Stegostoma tigrinum: one gene and its partner. The protein of the gene in region 1 purifies or fractionates together with the protein of each later gene. This does not show direct contact. Links are inferred from orthologs where the notes say so. Each region holds a gene or a part of one and is shown on either strand. Other genes may lie near its edges. The genes, in order: mlf1 and dnajb6b.

What was found.
Region 2: the proteins of mlf1 (region 1) and dnajb6b purify together in Homo sapiens (affinity purification with mass spectrometry; 3 studies listed by BioGRID and IntAct, counting the BioPlex papers as one, with this or other methods). This does not show direct contact. The link is inferred for Stegostoma tigrinum from reciprocal best matches to the Homo sapiens genes MLF1 and DNAJB6.

The regions. Positions count from the first base shown.
Region 1 is NC_081367.1:25,751,494-25,764,073, reverse strand, and holds the start of mlf1 (myeloid leukemia factor 1), read right to left. Parts: upstream 5,377-12,580; 5' UTR 5,244-5,376; coding exon 5,209-5,243; intron 1-5,208. UniProt on the Homo sapiens protein: Involved in lineage commitment of primary hemopoietic progenitors by restricting erythroid formation and enhancing myeloid formation.
Region 2 is NC_081355.1:140,057,255-140,069,734, reverse strand, and holds the start of dnajb6b (dnaJ homolog subfamily B member 6b), read left to right. Parts: upstream 1-6,685; 5' UTR 6,686-6,830; intron 6,831-12,480. UniProt on the Homo sapiens protein: Has a stimulatory effect on the ATPase activity of HSP70 in a dose-dependent and time-dependent manner and hence acts as a co-chaperone of HSP70. Plays an indispensable role in the organization of KRT8/KRT18 filaments.

The DNA of each region.
Region 1 (12,580 bases):
CCTTGAACTGGTCACAGGCCTCTTGTCTGAAAAGCAATCCTCCACCATCTCCGTCTGTCTCCTACTTTCAAGCCAGTATTTTATCCAAAAAGCTAGTTCTCCCTGTACTGATCTAACCTTGCTAACTGGTCTAACATGAGGAACCTTGTCAAAAACACCTTACTGAAATCTTTCTGAGATACTGAACATAAAAAATGGTAATAACAGAGGACATTTTATCTGGAGAGTGTTACCTGACGACAATACGACAGATTATTTCAAACATGCTGTCAAGATCATAGGTCAGAACCACAAAATACGATGGATATTTTGAACTTATTGTTCCAAAATGTTTCTTTTAAAAGAGTCTAATACAACAAAAAACTGGCTGTAGTTGTAAATTAAGTAGCGGTCTCGAGCAAGGATCACCCACAGAATCTGACAACAGATTAAAGTGCTGTTTACTCAGACTATCGATCTCACATCATTCCAACCTTCCCTCCCTCCTAACACTCACACATGCCTTCTCTCCACACAAAACGTCTCATTCAATCACTCCTGCCCTTCAATCCCACTCAGCGATGTCCTCCGTCCGCCACTCTATACAGCAGAAATGGGCTTTTTTAACTCCTGTCCTTATGTAATGGTTGAAGGGAAAAATACAATCTGCGCTTTGGCATATTAATTTGCATGGGGTCGTTAATTGTTGAGTGGGGAATCGTCAGCCCCTCTTTCACAGTCCAGTTGGTTTTGACTAGTCTTTTCCTCCTGTTTGGAGGCCTGCTGTTTGAAGTTCCACTTGAATCTGTAGTTGTCAAATTCTGTGGGTGCCTCTTGCTCGAGACAGTCACTTCATTTACAACCACAGCCAGTTTTTGTTGTATTTGACGCTTTAAAAAAAACATTTTGGAACAGTAAATTCAAAATATCCATAGTATTTTGTGGTTCTGATCTGTGATCATAACAATATGTTTCAAAGAATCTATGTCGTAGTGTAGTTAGGTAACATCCTCTAGATAAGATGTCCTCTGTTTCCAAGTTTATGTTTGATAAAGCTTTTTACTATTTACTTAGACTATCAATCTCACATAATTACAACCTCCCCATCCCCCAAAACTCTCATACTTTCTCTCCACACATTCATTCACTCCTGCCCTTCAATCTCACTTAGAAATGTCCTCTGTCCCCACTTGACCCTCCACTCAATACTGTGCTCCCTCCCATCTCAGTCCTCACTCATCCTATCTACTATCTGGACTTGTCCACCTGGTCTAGAAGAGGGGAGCTAGAGAGTAAAAGCAACAATAATGACGGAAGATACTGGGAAAATTTTTATCAAGTAAGGCTCAATCCCTAAAATTTTATGAAACATCAAGTGATGGAGGACAGGAGTGGTTGTCGGGGCTCAAACTGCAGGGTCTGGATTCCAGCCATCAGCTCCACACCTTCCTTCAATGAAAGTCATCCACTAATGAGCTAACTAGTAATGAACATAAAATAGGCTGTGTGATTGATAAACAAGGTTGGCTTGCATCTCAATCAGGAGTTCAAAGTTGTGAGAAGTATTTCCACAGACATGAAGTATTCAATTCTTGGATAAACTTAGGATCAGAAAGTATTTGGCACAAAAGAAAACTGCTCAGTCATAAAGTTTGAACAGGATGCATTTCGCAGGTCTTGTATGTGATTTGAGCTCGGTAATAATAAACATGTAAAGAAAAATATACATGAACAATTATTAAAAGGTCCCATTTCAATTCATTAGATTTTGTTTCTCCTCTTTCCGCTACCCAATTTTTGAATTAAAATAATGAGTAATGATTTGCATTAAAGCAAGAATAAACGGCTTAATATTAATGGGGTTAAAATTGAAGTGCATGATATTCTTGAAATGAGTGCTATAGTAATGCTCAACATTTTTCATCACGTAAAAGTAACACCCTGTGTAAGTATATTAATTACTGCATAGAGAAAGGAGATAAGGGGAACTGATAGGTCAGACAAAACAGTTGAATTACCATGGAAACCAGCAGGCGGGCAGGCCAAATCTAAAGGTGGGCATTACATGGGCCAGCATGTAGATGAGAATTACAAATGTGTACCGAAAATTCAGGATTTTTGAGCATTTCTCCAGGTAATTGAGTCATATTCTCATTTGCCTACACTTGAATAAAATCTTTAAGTGTGACAGTGGTAATTTTTCACGATTTTCACCACAACTGGCTTTTTCAGCAGGAAGGTTGAGGCTTTACATCAACGGACAAGCGAGTATATTTACTTAATTACAAGTTAAATAATGAAGTCAGGGTTTAGGTAAGAACTGTGTGGTCCATTTGAGGATTCAAACCAAAAAGGAAGTTTGTGAATGAAGTAATTAAAGATGGTGCAGGGACAAGATCATGATAAACATGGAGATTGTATTATGTTCAGGGTGAACTAGAAGAATAAATGAAAGGCTTTAAGGAATAAGAATGATCCTAGGGTAAATCAGGAGAGATATATTCCCATTGGGAAGAGGCATCAAACTAAACTCCAGACATGATAAACCAAGATTCAGAATGGGGACCCAAGATATAAATATTGCAACTTATGGAGCACCATTGGTATAGGCCTGGCAATGGCTGAGACATAGCAGTCAAAGCTGTGCAATCTGTGCAAAGCATAACGGAGAAGCCCAGTAAAATTAAGTTAGTCAACCAGCCTAGACCAAAGGGCTGTGGCCACAACAGAGAGGTTTGGTGACAAAGCTATTTTTAAAAATTCATCCACAGGATGTGGGTGTCGCTAGTTGGCCGTCATTCTCATTGTTCGTCCCTAATTGTCCTTGAGAAGGTGGTGGTGAGCTGTCTTCATGAGCTGCTGCAGTCCATGTACTGCAAGTAGATCCACAATCTTGTTCAGGAGGCAATTCCAGGATTTGACCCAGTTACACTGAAGGAACTGCAATAACTCAAGATGGTGAGTGGCTTGCTAGGGAACTTGCAAATTACGGCATTCCCATGTATCTTAGTCCTTTTCCTCCTGGAAAGAAGTGGTTATGGATTTGGAAGGTTCTGTTTAAGATTTTAGCAAATTTCTGAATTGAACCTTGAAGATAGTACACATTGCTGCTACGAAGCGTTCTGGTAGACGTTGTGGATGTTTGTGGATGTGATGTCAATTATGTGCTGATTTGTCCTGGATGGTGTCAACCTTCTTGTTGGAGCGGCGTTCATACAGGCAAGTGTGGAGTGTCCATCACACTCTTGGCTTGTAGTTAGAGTCTTGGAAACAAACACTTTGGCCCAACTAGACCATGCCAACCATGTTCCTAAACTTAACTAGTCCCATTTGCCTGCATTTGGCTTGTATCCCTCCAAACTTTCTCTTATGCATGTACTTATCCAAATGTCTTTTAAATGCTGTAACTGTACCTGCATCCATCGCTTCCTCTGGCAGTTCATTCCACACATGAACCACTTCCTGCATTAAAAAAACACTTTCTTCTCCTACCTTAAAAATATTGCCTCTTAGTTTTGGAACAAGCTTTGGAAGTCAGGAAGTCGTTATTCACCACTGTATTCCTAGCTTCTGACCTGCTCTTGTAGCCACTGTATTTTTATGGCGAGTCCAGTTCAGTTTCTAGTCAACGGTAAATCCAAGGTTGTTGATAATACATGATTCAGTGATGGTTAACACCACTGAATGTCAAGGGGCGGCATCGAAATTGCCTATTATTGGTGATGGTCATTGCCTGGCCTTTGTGTGATGTGAATGTTATTTGCCACTTGTTGGCCCAAGTGTGGATATTATCCACACCTTGTTGCATTTGAACATGAACTGCTTCAGTACCTTAGAAGTTGACAATGGCACTGAACATTTGTGCACTCAATCATCAATGAACATCCCATTTCGATTTATGACAAATGGCTGGCCATTGATGAAGCAGCTGAAGATGGATGACCTTCGACACCACCCTAAGAAACACCCGCAGGGGTATCCTGAGATGACTGACCCCTAGCAACCACAACCATCTTCCATATCCAATCACACCTAGCCCCAACTTCTGCACGTCATCACTACCCTAAACCCACTCCTGAAAGTCAGTCATCTCAGCTCCTGGGCATCTCTGCCAGAGTTGCTCAGGGTAGTGTCCTAGGCTCAAACATCTTCAGCTGCTTTTTCGATCACCTTCCCATCATCGTAAGATGTTCAGCACCATTTGCAACTCCTCAAATACTGAAGCAGTCTAAATTCAAATGCAACAGATCTGGACAATATCCAGGCTTGGGCTGACAAGTGGCAAACAATATTCACATCACACAAATGCCAGGTTATGACCACCATCAATAACAGACAAATTAACCACTGCCCCTGACATTCCAATGGTGTTAGCATCACTGATTCCCCAAATAACAACATCCTGGGGGGGATTGGTGACTATTGACCAGAAACTGAACTGGACTCACCACGTAAACACAGTGACTACCAAAGCAGGTCAGAGGCCAGGAATACTGTGAGTAACTCACCTACTGATCCCCACTTCCCCCACCGAAGCCTGTTCTCCATTTACAAAGGCACGAGTCAGGAGTGTGATGGAATAGACCCCAATTGCCTGAATGGGCACAGCTCCAATAACATTGCAGAAGCTTGATACCATGCAGAACAAAAAAGCACACTTGACTGGCACTTCATCTCCAAGAATTCACTCCCTCCACCACTGATACTCAGGGGCAGCTGTGTGTACTATCCTTGAACACCAACTGGGGGCAGGCAATTAATGCTGGCCTGCTAGCGACACCCGCAACCCACAAAAATGAATTTAAAAATTCAATTCCGACTTGGATGCTTCCATTGAACCTGCCTTCAGGACTTGGACGCCAATCAATGACTATCCGGAAATGTTTCATGTTCTGGTCACTGGACTCGAAATGTTAACTCTTGATTTCTCTCCACAGATGCTGCCAGAACTGCTGAAAAATTTCTGATTTTGTTTCTCCTGTCTCCCATTGATTTTTTTTGCCTGCATCAAACCTGCATCATCCTTGCTCTCCCGACTTCCAACAATGGGGGAATATATATATTTTGTGCCTCCGTCTACACTGTTTAAGAAACGCACGCCCCTCCCTCCTCCAACAAGCCTCACGCCCTGCTCAAGAGGAATATCTCTCCCAAATGTGGAAAGAAATACAGGGGAAATATAAAGGAAGCACCCCAGCGATTTAAGCAAATATTGTAACCCAAGCTTACGAGAAGAACGGATCTTCCTCGATCTCACGGAACATGGTGTAGGGTCCGGGGTGGGGGGGGGGGTCACGGCCGCTCGACTCGGCACTTTCTCAGCCTCGCTTAAACTTGGCGATGCGCCCTCGCACGTTCAGATTCCTCAGCGCCCTCCAGATCGCTTACAATCATCTATCCAACCTACCTACCCACCCACCCTCCCTTCCTTCCTTCAGGGAACGAAGCCCGTGCCTCTTCCGACTGACTCTCAGGGAAACTTCAACAGGCAGACCCACGTTTTTGTTTTGAAGGACGACGCCAACGTCGCTATGGCAACGCGCACAAGGCGGGCTGCACGGTGATTGGTGGAAATCCGTCCAATCGGCCCGTCTCCCTCGATAATGGTCCAAACCTCCAATCAGAGGTCGGTGCGCCGCCGTATCACAAACAGAAGGGTTATGACATCACTTGCACGAGATACAGTGGCAAGCATAGTCGATGGGAACTGCAGATGCTGGCAAGCATGCGCGCTTGGCTGACAGCGATAGCGACGCGCTCCTGTGGTATCCAACACAAACATATATGAAGTGGAGGTAACGGGAACTGCAGATGTTGGAGAATCCGAGATAACAAAGTGTGAAGCTGGATGAACACAGCAGGCCAAGCAGCATCTTCGGAGCACAAAAGCTGACGTTTCGGGCCTAGACCCTTCACCAGAAAAGGCGGATGAGGAGAGGGTTCTGGAAATAAATAGGGAGAGAGGGGGAGGCGGACCGAAGGTGGATAGAGGAGAAAATAGGCGGAGAGGAGACAGACAGGTCAAAGAGACGGGGATGGAACCTGTAGAGGTGAGTATAGGTAGGGAGGGGATAGGTCAGTCTGGGGAGAACAGACAGGCCAAGGAGGTGGGATGAGGTTAGTAGGTAGGAAATGGAGGTGCGGCTTGAGGTGGGAGGAGGGGATAGGTGAGAGGAGGAACAGGTTAGGGAGGCGGGGACGAGCTGGGCTGGTTTTCGGATACAATGGGGGGAGGGGAGATTTTGAAGCTTGTAAAGTCCACATTGATACCATTGGACTGCAGGGTTCCCAAGCGGACTATGAGTTGCTGTTCCTGCAACCTTCGGGTGGCATCATTGTGGTACTGCAGGAGGCCCAGAATGGATGTGTCGTCTAAGGAATGCGAGGGGAGTGACTTGTCCGTCCTCCTCGGACTGACCTATCCCGTCCCTACCTCCGGACCTCTACAGGCTCCATCCCCGCCCCTTTAACTCGTCTGTCTCCTCTCCACATCTTCGATCCGCCTCCCCCTCTCTGCCTATTTATTTCAGAATCCTCTCCCCATCCCCCTTTTCTGATGAAGGGTCTAGGCCCGAAACGTCAGCTTTTGTGCTCCTGAGATGCTGCTTGGCCTGCTGTGTTCATCCAGCGCCACACTTTGTTATATACAAAGTAGATATTTGCTGATCAAGGTCCACAATGTCTCCAAGCTTTACCATTAGTAAATGGTGTAAGATTTAAACTTTAAAATGAGCGCATTTCAGTGAATGCCAACCAAAATCATATTTCAGAATGAGGTGAAGATAGAGTAACATAAAAGTACTAATTTTGTTAAGAAACATAAGTGCTAATCTTGAATGTGAAAATGTAATATTTTTCAAATTGGACAAAACTTACAGTTAATGCAATTAAAAACTAAAATAATGGTGGAAAAAGTTTACAAAGTATTGAGTGACCATGTACATTTATCTACAAGATAACTGACATTACTTAGGAAAAATATTCATGGTGTAGAAGAAGGCCACAAGGCCCATTCTTTCATCAGTGCTAGGTCAGAAAAACAACTTATCAGACAAATCCCATTTTCCAGCTTTGGGTTCCAGAGCTATGAGCTCAGAAAAACTTTTAAGACAGAAAAATAAACAAAATATATTTTGGAAAATTGTTAAGCTGCTGAGATAAATGTGGAACAAAAGATTATCAGAGTATTCATTTGAACAAAACATGATTTGCATTTGTATAAAGTTGCTATAGCCCTTCTGGACCATAAAGTTACCCTCTCATCAGCGACAGAGATGACTGGTGCTGGTTTAACTCATGGTCACCCTGCCTCAGGTGAGGGAAGACGGTCTAAAAGAAAGTCCTTAACCTCAGCTATTGAGGGGATGGAACCCAATGTAGGTATGACTCTGTGTTGAAATCAAGCTGTCCAGCGAACTCACCCCAGTATCATTTGTCTAACACTTTTCATAATCTCAGGGATGTATCAAAATGCTTTACAGCTAATTAAGAATTTTTTGATGTGTAACCTTCCTTGTAACACAAAAAACAAAGGCAATCTATTTGTGTGCAGCGAATGATTATGACTGGTTAATGTCTTCTTTCAGTAGTGTTGGTTGTGGGATAAAAAATATGCAGGACAAAAGAAAGAATTCCTGTAATCATCTTTGAAGTATTACCATAACATCTTTATTGTCCATGTGAGAGACAGTTATCGGTATCTTAGTATTGCCCCGAGAGTATTAGCCTGGATTTTTGGGCTTAAGTCTCTGGAGCAGAATTTGAACTCATCAAGTCCCAGAAAATCAATGAGTGGTCATCTGAAGGGTGCAGCAAAACATCTGGAACATTTTAAGAACTAGACCTTATGTCAAGACAATTATAAGTTTGCCCAAAATTGCCAAGCTTCTGACGCAGCTTGCCAGATTTAGTTTATCTAGTTGTCATCAAGATAAATCTGAAGAGGTTGAGATCGTGTATGCTACCATCTGTATTTTTCCAGTGTCTAGGTTCTTCAGGGACTTCCACGAACTGGTGTGTAAAGGGTTTCCAGTCTAACAAGAAGACCCTAGACTAACTGTCTTAATAATTTACTGATGTCTGTCTCTCTCCCTTTTTGAATCAGGCATCACATTAGCAGATTTTCAATCTATTGGAACCCTCCCAGATTCCTAAGAATTCTGGAATATTTCAACCAATGCCTCAACATCTCTGTCGCCACCTCCTTTTTAAAATCTTTGGATGCAAGCTATTGGGTCCTGGCAACTTGTCTGCATTAATCCCATTAATTTGTCAAATACTTTGTTTCTGTTACAAGACCTTTCCTCTAATAGCACCTTGTTTATCTGTTATCTTTGGCAGTTTATAATGTCCTTTGCCTCAAGGCCAATTACAAGATATTGGTTTAAATTGTATACAGTTTCCCAGTTAATTAATCAATTAATTTCCCACTTGTGCACTCCAAGGAATAGATACTTACTTCAGCTATTCTCTTCCTGTTTATATACCCATGTAAGCTCTTGCTGTTTGTTTCATATTTCTTGCCAACTTACTTTCAAATTTCTCCTTGTTTATTAGCTTTTCAGTCATTTGCTGCTGGTTCCTAAAAGAAATTCCAATCCTTTGCCTACCACTAGTTTTCACTGTTTTGTACTTTTTGATTGGATATTTCCATGACTGCCTTTGTTAACCGTGGTGGTTTATCTTGCTCATTGAGTCCTTCTTCACTGGAATAATGTTTTGCCGAGCATGATGAAATACCTGTTGAAATGCCTGCCACTGCTCATCCACTGACTTTCATATGACTTATTTATCCCAGCCTTCTTTCGATGGCTCTTTTTCAATACCCCCGTAATTGCCCGCATTGAATTTGTAATTTTATAAAGTTATGAAAACTACCCCAGAGGATCCTTTACTGTGAGATCTCTTATTAATCCTACCTCATTACACACTACTTGTACTAAAATATCCTGCTCCAATGAAGGTTGTCCATTTAGGAGAGCTCATGGTATAATAGTATCTTGAAACACATCTAACACATCAATTGATCACACTCTGGGCATTTCTGGGTTTTTGTCTTTATTGTAAGTCCCAAATTTGCTTTGCTTCCGTAAATGGTCAAAATCATTTCTGTCCTCATTTATTTGAGCTAAAATTCTCCATTTCCATGTAACCTGTAGTGAATTGGTCTCACGAGACCATGAACGTTATATCTTCCCTTTACTGACATGAACAAAAGGAGGTGATGGCCTAGTGGTATTATCACTAGACTGTTAATCCAGAGATCAAGATAACATTCTGGGAACCCGGGTTCGAATCCAATCATGGCAGATGGTGGAATCTGAATTCAATAAATATCTGGAATTAAAAGATGATCATGAATCCATTGCTGACGTTTCGGGCCTAGACCCTTCATCAGAGAGGGGGATGGGGTGAGCGTTCTGGAATAAATAGGGAGAGAAGGGGATGTGGACCGAAGATGGAGAGAAAAGAAGATAGGTGGAGAGGAGAGTATAGGTGGGGAGGTAGGGAGGGGATAGGTCAGTCCAGGGAAGACGGACAGGTCAAGGAGGTGGGATGAGGTTAGTAGGTAGATGGGGGTGCGGCTTGGGGTGGGAGGAAGGGATGGGTGAGAGGAAAAACAGGTTAGGGAGGCAGAGACAGGTTGGACTGGTTTTGGGATGCAGTGGGTGGAGGGGAAGAGCTGGGCTGGTTGTGTGGTGCAGTGGGGGGAGGGGACGAACTGGGCTGGTTTAGGGATGCAGTTGGGGAAGGGGAGATTTTGAAACTGGTGAAGTCCACATTGATACCATTAGGCTGCAGGGTTCCCAGGCGGAATATGAGTTGCTGTTCCTGCAACGTTCGGGTGGCATCATTGTGGCACTGCAGGAGGCCCATGATGGACATGTCAACTAAAGAATGGGAGGGGGAGTGGAAATGGTTTGCGACTGGGAGGTGCAGTTGTTTGTTGCGAACTGAGCGGAGGTGTTCTGCAAAGCAGTCTCCAAGCCTCCGCTTGGTTTCCCCAATGTAGAGGAAGCCACACCGGGTACAGTGGATGCAGTATACCACATTGGCAGATGTGCAGGTGAACCTCTGCTTAATGTGGAATGTCATCTTGGGGCCCGGGATAGGGGTGAGGGAGGAGATGTGGGGGCAAGTGTAGCATTTCCTGCGGTTGCAGGGGAAGGTGCCGGGTGTGGTGGGGTTGGAGGGCAGTGTGGAGCGAACAAGGGAGTCACGCAGAGAGTGGTCTCTCCGGAAAGCAGACAGGGGTGGGGATGGAAAAATGTCTTGGGTGGTGGGGTCGGATTGTAGATGGCGGAAGTGTCGGAGGATGATGCGTTGTATCCGGAGGTTGGTGGGGTGGTGTGTGAGAACGACATTTCAGCCTTCCCAATTTGGCCCCAACCGTGACCACCTCTATACCCAGAATATTCAGACCCTTCAGAAGCGTTTCTCCCTGCGACTCCTGAAACAGACACTCGCAGCCATGCGCCGGCACCTCCACACACTGCAATCCAGCCTGCCCCAGCTCAGTGCCTCCCTCTCCCAGACCTGCAAAGGACCCCTGCTGTTTTTTATCCTCCGCAGGATCCACAGACTGAACACCCAGTTCCACTTAGCTTTACTGGACACCAAAAATCGTAAGTACAACCAACTCACTGGCCCCTGCCTCCCACAAGAGGATCCCTGCGCCTCCCAAATCCCGAGTCTGTCCCTGCCCCTCCCCCACCATGCACCCGCTGCCATTGACCATGAGGACACGGCCGGAGACCCCACCGATGACGTCACATCCGCCTCCGCCGGCCACACCACTTCCGGGACCGCTGCTGCAGTCACCGCCTCCACTTCCAGTCACAACACCTCACACACCACCCTCACCGCAGCTGCTGCCGCCCACCCCGATCCTCCCACCGCTGACGGAACCCAGCCCAAAGCCGACGCCGACGGAACCCCGCCCACGGCCGACGGAACCCCGCCCACGGCCGACGCCGACGGAACCCCGCCCATGGCCGACGCCCTCATCGCTCCGCCCACAACCTCCACAGCCAGCAACCCCAGAGGAGACAGCCACACCGAACCCTGCCGCATCTTCACCATCCCCCCAGACCTCCCACGATCGAGGACGAACGGTCAGTCCTTAGTAAGGGGCTCACCTTTGTCCCCCTACAACCACACATCAACGAATACCAGTCACGATTGGACATAGAGCAGTTTTTCCGCCGTCTTCGCCTCCATGCCTACTTCTTCAACTGGGAGCCTAACCCCGCCTCCACTGACCCCTTCACCCACTTCCAACACAAGTCCTCCTCCTGGACACCACCCCCAGGCCTCCTACCCTCCCTCGACCTCTTCATCTCCAACTGCCGTTGAGACATTAACCGCCTCAACCTCTCCACCCCTCTCACCCACTCCAACCTCTCCCCCGCAGAACGGGCAGCCCTCCGCTCCAACCCCAGCCTCACCATCAAACCCGCAGACAAGGGCGGTGCAGTGGTAGTATGGCGCACTGACCTCTACATCGCCGAGGCCATACGCCAACTCTCTGACACCACCTCCTACCGCCCCCTCGATCATGACCCCACACCCGAGCACCAAACCATCATCTCCAATACCATTCATGACCTCATCACCTCAGGGGACCTCCCACCCACAGCCGCCAGCCTCATTGTTCCCCAACCCCACACGGCCCGTTTCTATCTCCTTCCCAAAATCCACAAACCTGCCTGCCCTGGTCGACCCATCGTCTCAGCCTGCTCCTGCCCCACCGAACTCATCTCCACCTATCTGGACTCCATTTTCTCCCCTTTGGTCCAGGAACTCCCCACATACGTCCGTGACACCACCCACGCCCTCCACCTCCTCCAGGACTTCCAATTCCCTGGCCCCCAACACCTCATCTTCACCATGGACATCCAGTCCCTATACACCTGCATTCCGCATGCAGATGGCCTCAAGGCCCTCCGCTTCTTCCTGTCCTGCAGGCCCGACCAGTCCCCCTCCACCGACACCCTCATCTGCCTAGTCGAACTCGTCCTCACCCTCAACAACTTCTCTTTTGACTCCTCCCACTTCCTACAGACTAAGGGATGGCCATGGGCACCCGCATGGGCCCAAGCTATGCCTGCCTCTTTGTAGGTTATGTGGAACAGTCCCTCTTCCGCACCTACACAGGCCCCAAACCCCACCTCTTCCTCCGGTACATTGATGACTGTATCGGCGCCGCCTCTTGCTCCCCAGAGGAGCTTGAACAGTTCATCCACTTCACCAACACCTTCCACCCCAACCTTCAGTTCACCTGGGCCATCTCCAGCACATCCCTCACCTTCCTGGACCTCTCAGTCTCCATCTCAGGCAACCAGCTTGTAACTGATGTCCATTTCAAGCCCACTGACTCCCACAGCTACCTAGAATACACCTCCTCCCACCCATCCTCCTGCAAAAATTCCATCCCCTATTCCCAATTCCTCCGCCTCCGCCGCATCTGCTCCCACGATGAGGCATTCCACTCCCGCACATCCCAGATGTCCAAGTTCTTCAAGGACCGCAACTTACCCCCACAGTGATCGTGAACGCCCTTAACCGCGGCTCCCGTATTTCCTGCAACACATCCCTCACA
Region 2 (12,480 bases), on another chromosome or scaffold:
CTTCAAAATCTCCCCCCCAACCAACTTCATCCCAAAACCAGCCCAGCTTGTCCCCTCTCCCCACTGCATCACAATACCAGCCCAGCTCGTCCCCGCCTCCCTAACCTGTCCTTCGTCTCACCTATCCCCTCCTCCCACCTCAAGCCACACCTCCATTTCCCACCTACCAACCTCATCGCGCCTCCTTGACCTGTCCATCCTCCCCGGACTGACCTATCCCCTCCCCACCTATCTTCTTTTCTCTCCATCTTCAGTCCGCCTCCCCCTCTCTCCCTATTTATTTCAGAACCCTCTCCCCATTCCCCTCTCTGATGAAGGGTCTAGGCCCGAAATGTCAGCTTTTGTGCTCCTGAGATGCTGCTTGGCCTGCTGTGTTCGTCCAGCTTCATACTTTGTTATCTTCGACCTCCGTTAGAACTGGGTGACCATTTAACCAGATTTTATTTTGATTGGTTCTGATTTTGATTTTGCTAAGCAATTTAACTGCTCCAAACCATGTGTCCGTGGACTCTCCAGCATGTGCACTCGCTTGGATACTGCCTAATGAGTTCTCTTATTCCTTTTTGATCCAATGGGACTCTTTTGCTGTCTTGAGTCTGCATACCGGCAATAACTACAATGGCTTGTCAGCCCAGATCCCGAAGAAAATTTTTCACCATTTGGCTGAGGCTTGGCTTTGTTTTAGTGTTTTGCTGTGGACTGACCTCGCGTTCCTCTGTTCAGGATAAGTCCTGAGTGATGCACTGCAACTGTGTTTACTCAAGTGGAGTTCCTCACACTCACTTGGACCGGCAAGGGTGTCCACGTCTATTGGAATACCCTGTAACTCCCACGCTCCACTTGTCACATTTTCCATTGATAAAGCCAGTTGTAGTGCCTATTTGAAGTCCAGTTTGGTTTCAGTTGGTAGGTGCTTTTGAATGGTTACATCATTAATCCCACATGAGCTGGGCTTGTTTTGGGATGCAATGGGGGGAGGGGGGCGAGCTGGGCTGGTTTTGGGATGAAGTCGGGGAGGGGGAGATTTTGAAGTTTGTGAAGTCCACACTGATACCATTGGGCTGCTGGGTTCCCAAGCGGAATATGAGTTGCTGTTCCTGCAACTTTCAGGTGGTATCATTCTGGCATTGCAGGAGGCCCATGATGGACATGTCCTCTAAGGAATGGGAGGGGGAGTTAAAATGGTTCACGTCTGGGAGGTGCAGTAGTTTATTGCGAACCGAGCGGAGGCGTTCAGCAAAGCAGTCCCCAAGCCTCCGCTTGGTTTCCCCAATGTAGAGAAAGCCTCACCGGGTACAGTGGATACAGTATACTATATCGGCACATATGCAAGTGAACATCTGCTTAATATGGAAAGTCATCTTGGGGCCTGGGATGGGGGTGAGGGAGGAGGTGTGGGGACAAGTGTAGCACTTCCTGCAGTTGCTGGGGAAGGTGCTGGGTGTGGTGGGGTTGGAGGGGAGTGTGGAGCGGACAAGGGAGTCACGGAGAGAGTGGTCTCTCCAGAAGGCAGACAAGGGTGGGGATGGAAAAATGTCTTGGGTGGTGGGGGCGGATTGTAGATGGTGGAAGTGTCGGAGGATAACGCGTTATATCAGGAGGTTGGTGGGGTGGTATGTGAGGACGAGGGGGATCCTCTTAGGGCGGTTATGGCAGGGGTGGGGTGTGAGGGATGTAAGCTGCAGGAAATGCGGGAGACACGGTCAAGGGCGTTCTCAACCACTGCGGGGCGGAAGTGGCGGTCCTTGAAGAACTTGGCCATCTGGGATGTGCGGGAGTGGAATGCCTCATCCTGGGAGCAGATGTGGCGGAGACGAAGGAATTGGGAATAGGGTATGGGGATTGATGGAGTAGCTTGGCATATCCGGACAAAGGACAAAGCTAAGGTACTTGCATCCATCTTCCACCAGAAGCACCAAATAAATTATATATCTTAGCCTTCTCCTTAGGTACCCGATGTCACATATTCAGTTTTTCGACAATTTGACTGACAACATGTTAACAAGAAACATCTGAACGTGCTGGATACTACAAATGCAATGATCCCTGATGCTGCCCTCTTATGGTGCAGTGGTAGTGTTCCTATGCCTGGACTGAGGGGCCTGGATTCAAGTTTCACCTGCTCCAGAGGTGTAATAACATCTCTGAACTGTTTGATTAGAAAAATAGGTTTTAAAAAAGAGCCCTCACAACATTCCAGCAATAACACTAAAGTTTGGGTGTAGAAATAGTCATGTTCCTAACCAAGCTGCTTCAGAACATCTACAAAACTGAGACCTACCCAACAGGATAGCTGTGGTTCTTGAAGGTCAGTTATGTCATTCTCAGGACACTACTGCAGGAGTTCTTTATCAATTGCTTTATCAATGACTTTCTCTCCTGTATAAGGTAAGAAGTGGAGATGGTTGCTGACGATTGCGCAATATTGAATACCATTTGCAACTCCTCAGATACTGAAGCAGTCGATGCTCATACGCAGAAATACCTGGGCATTATCCAGATTTTGGCTGATAGGTGACAGTTAACATCCACAGGCAATGGCCATCTCTAATGAGAGAATCTAACTAGTGCCTCTTGACATTCGGTGGGATTACTATCAATAAATTCTCCGATATCAACATCCTGTGAGATATCATTGACCAGAAACTGAACTGAACTAGTTACATTTATACTCTGGCTACAAAAATACGTCAGAGTCTTAGAATTCTGTGGCAAGTAACTCACGTCCTAAGTTCCCAAATCTAATCTATCTTCTACAAGACACAAATAAGGAGTGTGATGAAATACTCCCAATTGCCGGGATGAGTACAGCTCCACAACACTCAAGAAGCTTAACACCACCCAGGGCAAAGTAGTCTACTGGAATGATACTAATCCACCACCTCAAACATTCAGTCCCTACACCACCTCCACACAGCGGCAGCAACATGTGCCATCTCGAAGAAGTGCAGCAGTAACTTACCAAAAGATAGTAAGTACTGCAGATGCTCGAGTCAGAGACAACACAGTTTGAAGTTGGAAAGTTGGTTTTTCGGGGCAGGACACTTCTTCAGCCCAGTCCTGAAGAAGGGTCCTAACCCGAAACATCAACTTTCCTGCTTCTCTGATGCTGCCTAACCTGCTGTGTTTCTCCAGCTCCACACTGAGTTGTCAGTAACTCACCAAGACTCCCTCAACAGCACCTTCCAAACCAGTGGTCTCCAACATCTAGAAGGACAAGGCAACAGATACACAGGAGTGCAACCACTCACATATTTCGTTCAAAGTTACACACCATCATGACTTGGAACTATAATTGCTATTCCTTTACTGCCACTAGATTAAAATTTGGGGAACGGTGTCCTGCTAGTACTGGAGGTATTTTTGCTATCTTAAGGTCAACATCAGTTAATGAAAGGGGCTTACCACCATCTTCTCAAACCAGGACAATAAAATGCTGGTCTAGTTAACAAGACCCACATCATATGACTGACCCAGATCAACTATGAAAAGAACGCACTCCAAAAAGAATATATTTCCCTCTTTGAAAGAATAAGATGGATTAAAATTAATACAGTCATTTTCAGAAAAAGGATGAAACATAGTGTAGATAAGTGAGACATGAGAAATCTACTGCGGAGTTGTAGAATAATTACTGCACAGAAGGAACTTGTTTAGCTTGTCGTGTTTGCACCAACTCTTTTCAGGAGCAATTCACCAAGTGCCACTCCTTAGTCCTCAAGCTGTGGCACTGCACAACTTTCCTTTTCAAATAGTACCCCAACTGATTTTTGAATGCCACTAGCAAACTCACAGGGAGTACATTCCAGATTCTAACTATTTGTTGCATGAACATTTCCCATGTTCATCACTTTTTCTTCTAGAACATAGAACAGTACAGCACAGTACAGACTCTTTGGCTACACTGTTGTGCCAACCTATTATCCTATTAAGATCAAGCTACCCTGCATACCCTACATTTTATTATCAACCATGTGCCTATCCAAGAGACACTTAAAAGTCTGTAAAGTATCTGACTCCACTACTACTGCTGGCAGTGCATTCCATGTGCCCACCACTCTCTGTGTAAAGAACCTACTTCTGACATCTCCCCTGTACCTTCCTCCTATCACCTTAAAATTATGCCCTCTTGGACTAGTCATTTCTGCCCTGGGAAAATGTCTCTGGCTATCCAGTCCATCTATGCCTCATGATCTTGTACACTTTCCTCAAATACCTTTAAAATTCATGCCTTCATAGGCTTGCTTCTTCCTCTCTACTGTGTTAAGCTGCACTTGATCTTGAATATCTGTACCAAATCAAGAAAAAAGAGTTACCTGGTTGAACAGAACTTGATATAGTTGAAACAGGCATTTTGACAGAGCTAATGGGAACTGCAGATGCTGGAGAATCCAAGATAACAAAGTGTAGAACTGGATGAACACAGCAGGCCAAGCAGCATCTTAGGAGCACAAAAGCTGACGTTTCGGGCCTAGACCCTTCATCAGAAAAGGGGGATGGGGAGACGATTCTGAAATAAATAGGGAGAGAAGGGGAGGTGGATAGAGGAGAAGATAGGTGGAGAGGAGAGTATGGGTGGGGAGGTAGGGAATGGTTTGGTCAGCCCGGGGAGGATGGACAGGTCAAGGGGCGATTAGTAGGTAGGAAATGGAGGTGCGGCTTGAGGTGGGAGGAGGGGATAGATGTGAGGAAGAACAGGTTAGGCAGGCTGGGACGAGCTGGGCTGGTTTTGGGATGAAGTGGGGGAGGGGAGATTTTGAAGCTAGTGAAATCCACATTGATACTAATGGGCTGCAGGGTTCCCAAGCGGAATATGAGTTGCTGTTCCTGCAACCTACAGGTGGCATCATTATGGCACTGCAGGAGGCCCATGACGGACATGTCATCTGAAGAATGGGAAGGGGAATTGAAATGGTTCGCGACTGGGAGGTGCAGTTGTTTATTGCGAACCGAGCAGAGGTATTCTGCAAAGCGATCCCCAAGCCTCCGCTTAGTTTCCCCAATGTAGAGGAAGCCACACCGGGTACAATGGATACAGTATACCACATTGGCGGATGTGCAGGTGAACCTCTGCTTAATATGGAAAGTCATCTTGGGGCCTGGGATTGGGGTGAGGGAGGAGGCGTGGGGGCAAGTGTAGCACTTCCTGCGGTTGCAGGGGAAAGTGTCGGGTATGGTGGGGTTGGAGGGGAGTGTGGAGCGGACAAGGGAGTCGCGGAGAGAGTGGTCTCTCCGGAAGGCAGGCAAGGGTGGGGATGGAAAAATGTTTTTGGTGGTGGGGTTATTGTTTTGTCCAATTTCAGCAATACTCAAATCAAGAACACAAGAACAATGAGTAGGCCATTTGGACACTTCAGCATGTTTTGCTGTTCAGTAAGATCAAGTTGATGTGACTGCAGTTTTCAACTCCACTCTCCTGAGTGCCCTATTCCCGCTAACTATTTCCTCCCACTTATCAAATATCCACCCAACTGCATCTTGAACCAATTCAACCACTGGATCCAGAGGAAGTAGACTCCAAGCGTATTATCTCAGTCTTAAATGGATCACCTGCTATTTTGAAACCATGCTCTGCACTGTTCCATCCGCTTAGCATCCATCGTGTCAAGTAACCTTAAGATCTAAAGTCACTAGGAGACAGTAGTAACCAAAGATGCTGGAGTCAGTGTCAATACAGTGTGGAACTGGAGGATCACAGCAGGTAATGCAGTTTCAGAGTTACAGGAATGTCGATGTTTCAGGTTTACGCCATTCCTCTAGACTGTCTCCCTGATGCTGCCTGATCTGCTGTGTTCCTCCAGCTCCACACTTAACCTCAAGATCTTATAAGTCTCATTCTTCTTCACTCTATTAAGTACTTGCTGAACATTTCCTCATCCCTAAAAAAGGTGGGATTATTGTGAACAAATAAGGCTGATGCCTGCGTGTTTGGCTATGCATAAAGAGGATCGCACAATGTAATGTCCAACCACTGGGCAACAGAGCCCAGGTGGAAATTCCAACAGTGTCAAAGGTGTGTTCTAGCCTGTACTATCATAAAAACTTAAGAATTAGGAACGGGAGTAACCTCAAGCGTGTTCCACCATTCAATAAATCATGGCTTATCAGACATTCCTCACATCCACTTTCCTGCCTTATCACTATAACCCTTTATTTCCCTACTGATTAAGATCCTATATTAGCCATAAACGCACACAAGAACTCTTGGTTCTTTGTGGCAAACAGTCCACAACCCTGTGAGAGAAGAAATTCCTCCTCATATCAGTCCTAAATTGGGGCCAACAACAAAAACAGAAGTTGCAGGAAAAGCTCAGCTGGTCTGTTATCATCAGTGAAGAAGAAAAAATGTGTACTGAGCAAGGGGTCACTGGTCCCGAAACGTTAAACTCTTGAGTTTTTTTCTTCACGGATGCTGCCGGACCTGCTGAGCTTTTCTAGCAACTTCTGTTTTTGTTTCTCCCAGCATTGACCCTGTCAAGCCCCTTACGAATCCAAGATGTTTCATTGAGATCACCTTTCATTCCTGTAAACTCCAGTGCTTTGTTTTCCCCGCTTGTGTGGTGAACGATTAGCCGGCTTCACATCACCACCACGTGATACCAGGCCACCGTTCTCTCGCCATTTTCCAGAAATTTCAAAGGTGACGTCACATATGAGCAGCGGTCGGGCGACGTCATAATGACGCAATAACTGCCAAAAGGAAGTGACGAAGCGGAGATTTTTTTCCCCTCTCTCCGTTCGGCGGCCGGTGGATGTTTCTAGAGCGGGAGTTGTTGGTGAGGGCGAAGTCTGGGTTGTAGTAAGTCGGAGCAGGCGTACGGAACCGAGAGGTGAGACCTTAAAAAGAATACTCCAGGATAGCCTCCCAAGCGCGTAGCCGGTCGCGATTGTCGTCAGCTCAGATTTATGCTGGCAGAGGGGAGTGAGGCCGAACGGGGGAGGCGTACTGCCAGCGAGAGAGAGAGAGAGAGAGAGAGAGAGAGAGACAGAGACAAAACAAAATGGGTGAAAGGCCGTTGGTTTATCTAAATGCGTGGGCCTTTCGGCCTTGGAATAAAGCTGATTTCGCTTGAGGAAACAGGTTGTTATGGAGATGGGGTGCTGACCAAAGAAAACAAAAGCCTCTCTTCCATTCCTGTATTCTCCAACTTGTGTATGTCTTTGTCTGTCTTCTCCCCTGCCGCGTGTGTGTGTGTGTCTCCGTCTACCTTCTCCCCTGCCGTGTGTGTGTGTGTGTCTCCGTCTACCTTCTCCCCTGCCGTGTGTGTGTGTGTGTCTCCGTCTATCTTCTCCCCTGCCGTGTGTGTGTGTGTGTCTCCGTCTATCTTCTCCCCTGCCGTGTGTGTGTGTGTCTCCGTCTATCTTCTCCCCTGCCGTGTGTGTGTGTGTGTGTGTCTCCGTCTATCTTCTCCCCTGCCGTGTGTGTGTGTGTGTGTCTCCGTCTATCTTCTCCCCTGCCGTGTGTGTGTGTGTGTCTCCGTCTATCTTCTCCCCTGCCGTGTGTGTGTGTGTGTCTCCGTCTATCTTCTCCCCTGCCGTGTGTGTGTGGGTGTCTCCGTCTATCTTCCCTGCCGTGTGTGTGTGGGTGTCTCCGTCTATCTTCTCCCCTGCCGTGTGTGTGTGGGTGTCTCCGTCTATCTTCTCCCCTGCCGTGTGTGTGTGGGTGTCTCCGTCTATCTTCTCCCCTGCCGTGTGTGTGTGGGTGTCTCCGTCTATCTTCTCCCCTGCCGTGTGTGTGTGGGTGTCTCCGTCTATCTTCTCCCCTGCCGTGTGTGTGTGGGTGTCTCCGTCTATCTTCTCCCCTGCCGTGTGTGTGTGGGTGTCTCCGTCTATCTTCTCCCCTGCCGTGTGTGTGTGGGTGTCTCCGTCTATCTTCTCCCCTGCCGTGTGTGTGTGGGTGTCTCCGTCTATCTTCTCCCCTGCCGTGTGTGTGTGGGTGTCTCCGTCTATCTTCTCCCCTGCCGTGTGTGTGTGGGTGTCTCCGTCTATCTTCTCCCCTGCCGTGTGTGTGTGGGTGTCTCCGTCTATCTTCTCCCCTGCCGTGTGTGTGTGGGTGTCTCCGTCTATCTTCTCCCCTGCCGTGTGTGTGTGGGTGTCTCCGTCTATCTTCTCCCCTGCCGTGTGTGTGTGGGTGTCTCCGTCTATCTTCTCCCCTGCCGTGTGTGTGTGGGTGTCTCCGTCTATCTTCTCCCCTGCCGTGTGTGTGTGGGTGTCTCCGTCTATCTTCTCCCCTGCCGTGTGTGTGTGGGTGTCTCCGTCTATCTTCTCCCCTGCCGTGTGTGTGTGGGTGTCTCCGTCTATCTTCTCCCCTGCCGTGTGTGTGTGGGTGTCTCCGTCTATCTTCTCCCCTGCCGTGTGTGTGTGGGTGTCTCCGTCTATCTTCTCCCCTGCCGTGTGTGTGTGGGTGTCTCCGTCTATCTTCTCCCCTGCCGTGTGTGTGTGGGTGTCTCCGTCTATCTTCTCCCCTGCCGTGTGTGTGTGGGTGTCTCCGTCTATCTTCTCCCCTGCCGTGTGTGTGTGGGTGTCTCCGTCTATCTTCTCCCCTGCCGTGTGTGTGTGGGTGTCTCCGTCTATCTTCTCCCCTGCCGTGTGTGTGTGGGTGTCTCCGTCTACCTTCTCCCCTGCCGTGTGTGTGTGGGTGTCTCCGTCTATCTTCTCCCCTGCCGTGTGTGTGTGGGTGTCTCCGTCTATCTTCTCCCCTGCCGTGTGTGTGTGGGTGTCTCCGTCTATCTTCTCCCCTGCCGTGTGTGTGTGGGTGTCTCCGTCTATCTTCTCCCCTGCCGTGTGTGTGTGGGTGTCTCCGTCTATCTTCTCCCCTGCCGTGTGTGTGTGGGTGTCTCCGTCTATCTTCTCCCCTGCCGTGTGTGTGTGGGTGTCTCCGTCTATCTTCTCCCCTGCCGTGTGTGTGTGGGTGTCTCCGTCTATCTTCTCCCCTGCCGTGTGTGTGTGGGTGTCTCCGTCTATCTTCTCCCCTGCCGTGTGTGTGTGGGTGTCTCCGTCTATCTTCTCCCCTGCCGTGTGTGTGTGGGTGTCTCCGTCTATCTTCTCCCCTGCCGTGTGTGTGTGGGTGTCTCCGTCTATCTTCTCCCCTGCCGTGTGTGTGTGGGTGTCTCCGTCTATCTTCTCCCCTGCCGTGTGTGTGTGGGTGTCTCCGTCTATCTTCTCCCCTGCCGTGTGTGTGTGGGTGTCTCCGTCTATCTTCTCCCCTGCCGTGTGTGTGTGGGTGTCTCCGTCTATCTTCTCCCCTGCCGTGTGTGTGTGTGTGTGTGTGTCTCCGTCTATCTTCTCCCCTGCCGTGTGTGTGTGTGTGTGTGTGTGTGTCTCCGTCTATCTTCTCCCCTGCCGTGTGTGTGTGTGTGTGTGTGTCTCCGTCTATCTTCTCCCCTGCCGTGTGTGTGTGTGTGTGTGTGTGTGTCTCCGTCTATCTTCTCCCCTGCCGTGTGTGTGTGTGTGTGTGTGGGTGTCTCCGTCTATCTTCTCCCCTGCCGTGTGTGTGTGGGTGTCTCCGTCTATCTTCTCCCCTGCCGTGTGTGTGTGGGTGTCTCCGTCTATCTTCTCCCCTGCCGTGTGTGTGTGGGTGTCTCCGTCTATCTTCTCCCCTGCCGTGTGTGTGTGGGTGTCTCCGTCTATCTTCTCCCCTGCCGTGTGTGTGTGTGTGTGTGTGTCTCCGTCTATCTTCTCCCCTGCCGTGTGTGTGTGTGTGTGTGTGTGTGTCTCCGTCTATCTTCTCCCCTGCCGTGTGTGTGTGTGTGTGTGTGTCTCCGTCTATCTTCTCCCCTGCCGTGTGTGTGTGTGTGTGTGTGTGTGTGTCTCCGTCTATCTTCTCCCCTGCCGTGTGTGTGTGTGTGTGTGTGGGTGTCTCCGTCTATCTTCTCCCCTGCCGTGTGTGTGTGGGTGTCTCCGTCTATCTTCTCCCCTGCCGTGTGTGTGTGGGTGTCTCCGTCTATCTTCTCCCCTGCCGTGTGTGTGTGGGTGTCTCCGTCTATCTTCTCCCCTGCCGTGTGTGTGTGGGTGTCTCCGTCTATCTTCTCCCCTGCCGTGTGTGTGTGGGTGTCTCCGTCTATCTTCTCCCCTGCCGTGTGTGTGTGTGTGTGTGTGTCTCCGTCTATCTTCTCCCCTGCCGTGTGTGTGTGTGTGTGTGTGTGTCTCCGTCTATCTTCTCCCCTGCCGTGTGTGTGTGTGTGTGTGTGTGTCTCCGTCTATCTTCTCCCCTGCCGTGTGTGTGTGTGTGTGTGTGTGTCTCCGTCTATCTTCTCCCCTGCCGTGTGTGTGTGTGTGTGTGTGTGTCTCCGTCTATCTTCTCCCCTGCCGTGTGTGTGTGTGTGTGTGTGTGTGTGTGTGTGTGTGTCTCCGTCTATCTTCTCCCCTGCCGTGTGTGTGTGTGTGTGTGTGTGTGTCTCCGTCTATCTTCTCCCCTGCCGTGTGTGTGTGTGTGTGTGTGTGTCTCCGTCTATCTTCTCCCCTGCCGTGTGTGTGTGTGTGTGTGTGTGTGTGTCTCCGTCTATCTTCTCCCCTGCCGTGTGTGTGTGTGTGTGTGTGTGTCTCCGTCTATCTTCTCCCCTGCCGTGTGTGTGTGTGTGTGTGTGTGTCTCCGTCTATCTTCTCCCCTGCCGTGTGTGTGTGTGTGTGTGTGTGTGTGTGTGTGTGTGTCTCCGTCTATCTTCTCCCCTGCCGTGTGTGTGTGTGTGTGTGTGTGTGTGTGTGTGTGTGTCTCCGTCTATCTTCTCCCCTGCCGTGTGTGTGTGTGTGTGTGTGTGTGTGTGTCTCCGTCTATCTTCTCCCCTGCCGTGTGTGTGTGTGTGTGTGTGTGTGTGTGTCTCCGTCTATCTTCTCCCCTGCCGTGTGTGTGTGTGTGTCTCCGTCTATCTTCTCCCCTGCCGTGTGTGTGTGTGTGTGTGTGTCTCCGTCTATCTTCTCCCCTGCCGTGTGTGTGTGTGTGTCTCCGTCTATCTTCTCCCCTGCCGTGTGTGTGTGTGTGTCTCCGTCTATCTTCTCCCCTGCCGTGTGTGTGTGGGTGTCTCCGTCTATCTTCTCCCCTGCCGTGTGTGTGTGGGTGTCTCCGTCTATCTTCTCCCCTGCCGTGTGTGTGTGGGTGTCTCCGTCTATCTTCTCCCCTGCCGTGTGTGTGTGTGTGTGTGTGTGTGTGTGTGTGTCTCCGTCTATCTTCTCCCCTGCCGTGTGTGTGTGTGTGTGTGTGTCTCCGTCTATCTTCTCCCCTGCCGTGTGTGTGTGTGTGTGTGTGTCTCCGTCTATCTTCTCCCCTGCCGTGTGTGTGTGTGTGTCTCCGTCTATCTTCTCCCCTGCCGTGTGTGTGTGTGTGTGTGTGTGTGTGTGTGTGTGTGTCTCCGTCTATCTTCTCCCCTGCCGTGTGTGTGTGTGTGTGTGTGTGTGTCTCCGTCTATCTTCTCCCCTGCCGTGTGTGTGTGTGTGTGTGTGTGTGTGTCTCCGTCTATCTTCTCCCCTGCCGTGTGTGTGTGTGTGTGTGTGTGTGTGTGTCTCCGTCTATCTTCTCCCCTGCCGTGTGTGTGTGTGTGTGTGTGTGTCTCCGTCTATCTTCTCCCCTGCCGTGTGTGTGTGTGTGTGTGTGTCTCCGTCTATCTTCTCCCCTGCCGTGTGTGTGTGTGTGTGTGTGTGTGTCTCCGTCTATCTTCTCCCCTGCCGTGTGTGTGTGTGTGTGTGTGTCTCCGTCTATCTTCTCCCCTGCCGTGTGTGTGTGTGTGTGTGTGTCTCCGTCTATCTTCTCCCCTGCCGTGTGTGTGTGTGTGTGTGTCTCCGTCTATCTTCTCCCCTGCCGTGTGTGTGTGTGTGTGTCTCCGTCTATCTTCTCCCCTGCCGTGTGTGTGTGTGTGTGTGTGTGTCTCCGTCTATCTTCTCCCCTGCCGTGTGTGTGTGTCTCCGTCTATCTTCTCCCCTGCCGTGTGTGTGTGTCTCCGTCTATCTTCTCCCCTGCCGTGTGTGTGTGTGTGTGTGTGTCTCCGTCTATCTTCTCCCCTGCCGTGTGTGTGTGTCTCCGTCTATCTTCTCCCCTGCCGTGTGTGTGTGTGTGTGTGTGTGTCTCCGTCTATCTTCTCCCCTGCCGTGTGTGTGTGTGTGTCTCCGTCTATCTTCTCCCCTGCCGTGTGTGTGTGTGTGTCTCCGTCTATCTTCTCCCCTGCCGTGTGTGTGTGTGTGTCTCCGTCTATCTTCTCCCCTGCCGTGTGTGTGTGTGTGTGTGTGTGTCTCCGTCTATCTTCTCCCCTGCCGTGTGTGTGTGTGTGTGTGTGTCTCCGTCTATCTTCTCCCCTGCCGTGTGTGTGTGTGTGTGTCTCCGTCTATCTTCTCCCCTGCCGTGTGTGTGTGTCTCCGTCTATCTTCTCCCCTGCCGTGTGTGTGTGTCTCCGTCTATCTTCTCCCCTGCCGTGTGTGTGTGTCTCCGTCTATCTTCTCCCCTGCCGTGTGTGTGTGTGTCTCCGTCTATCTTCTCCCCTGCCGTGTGTGTGT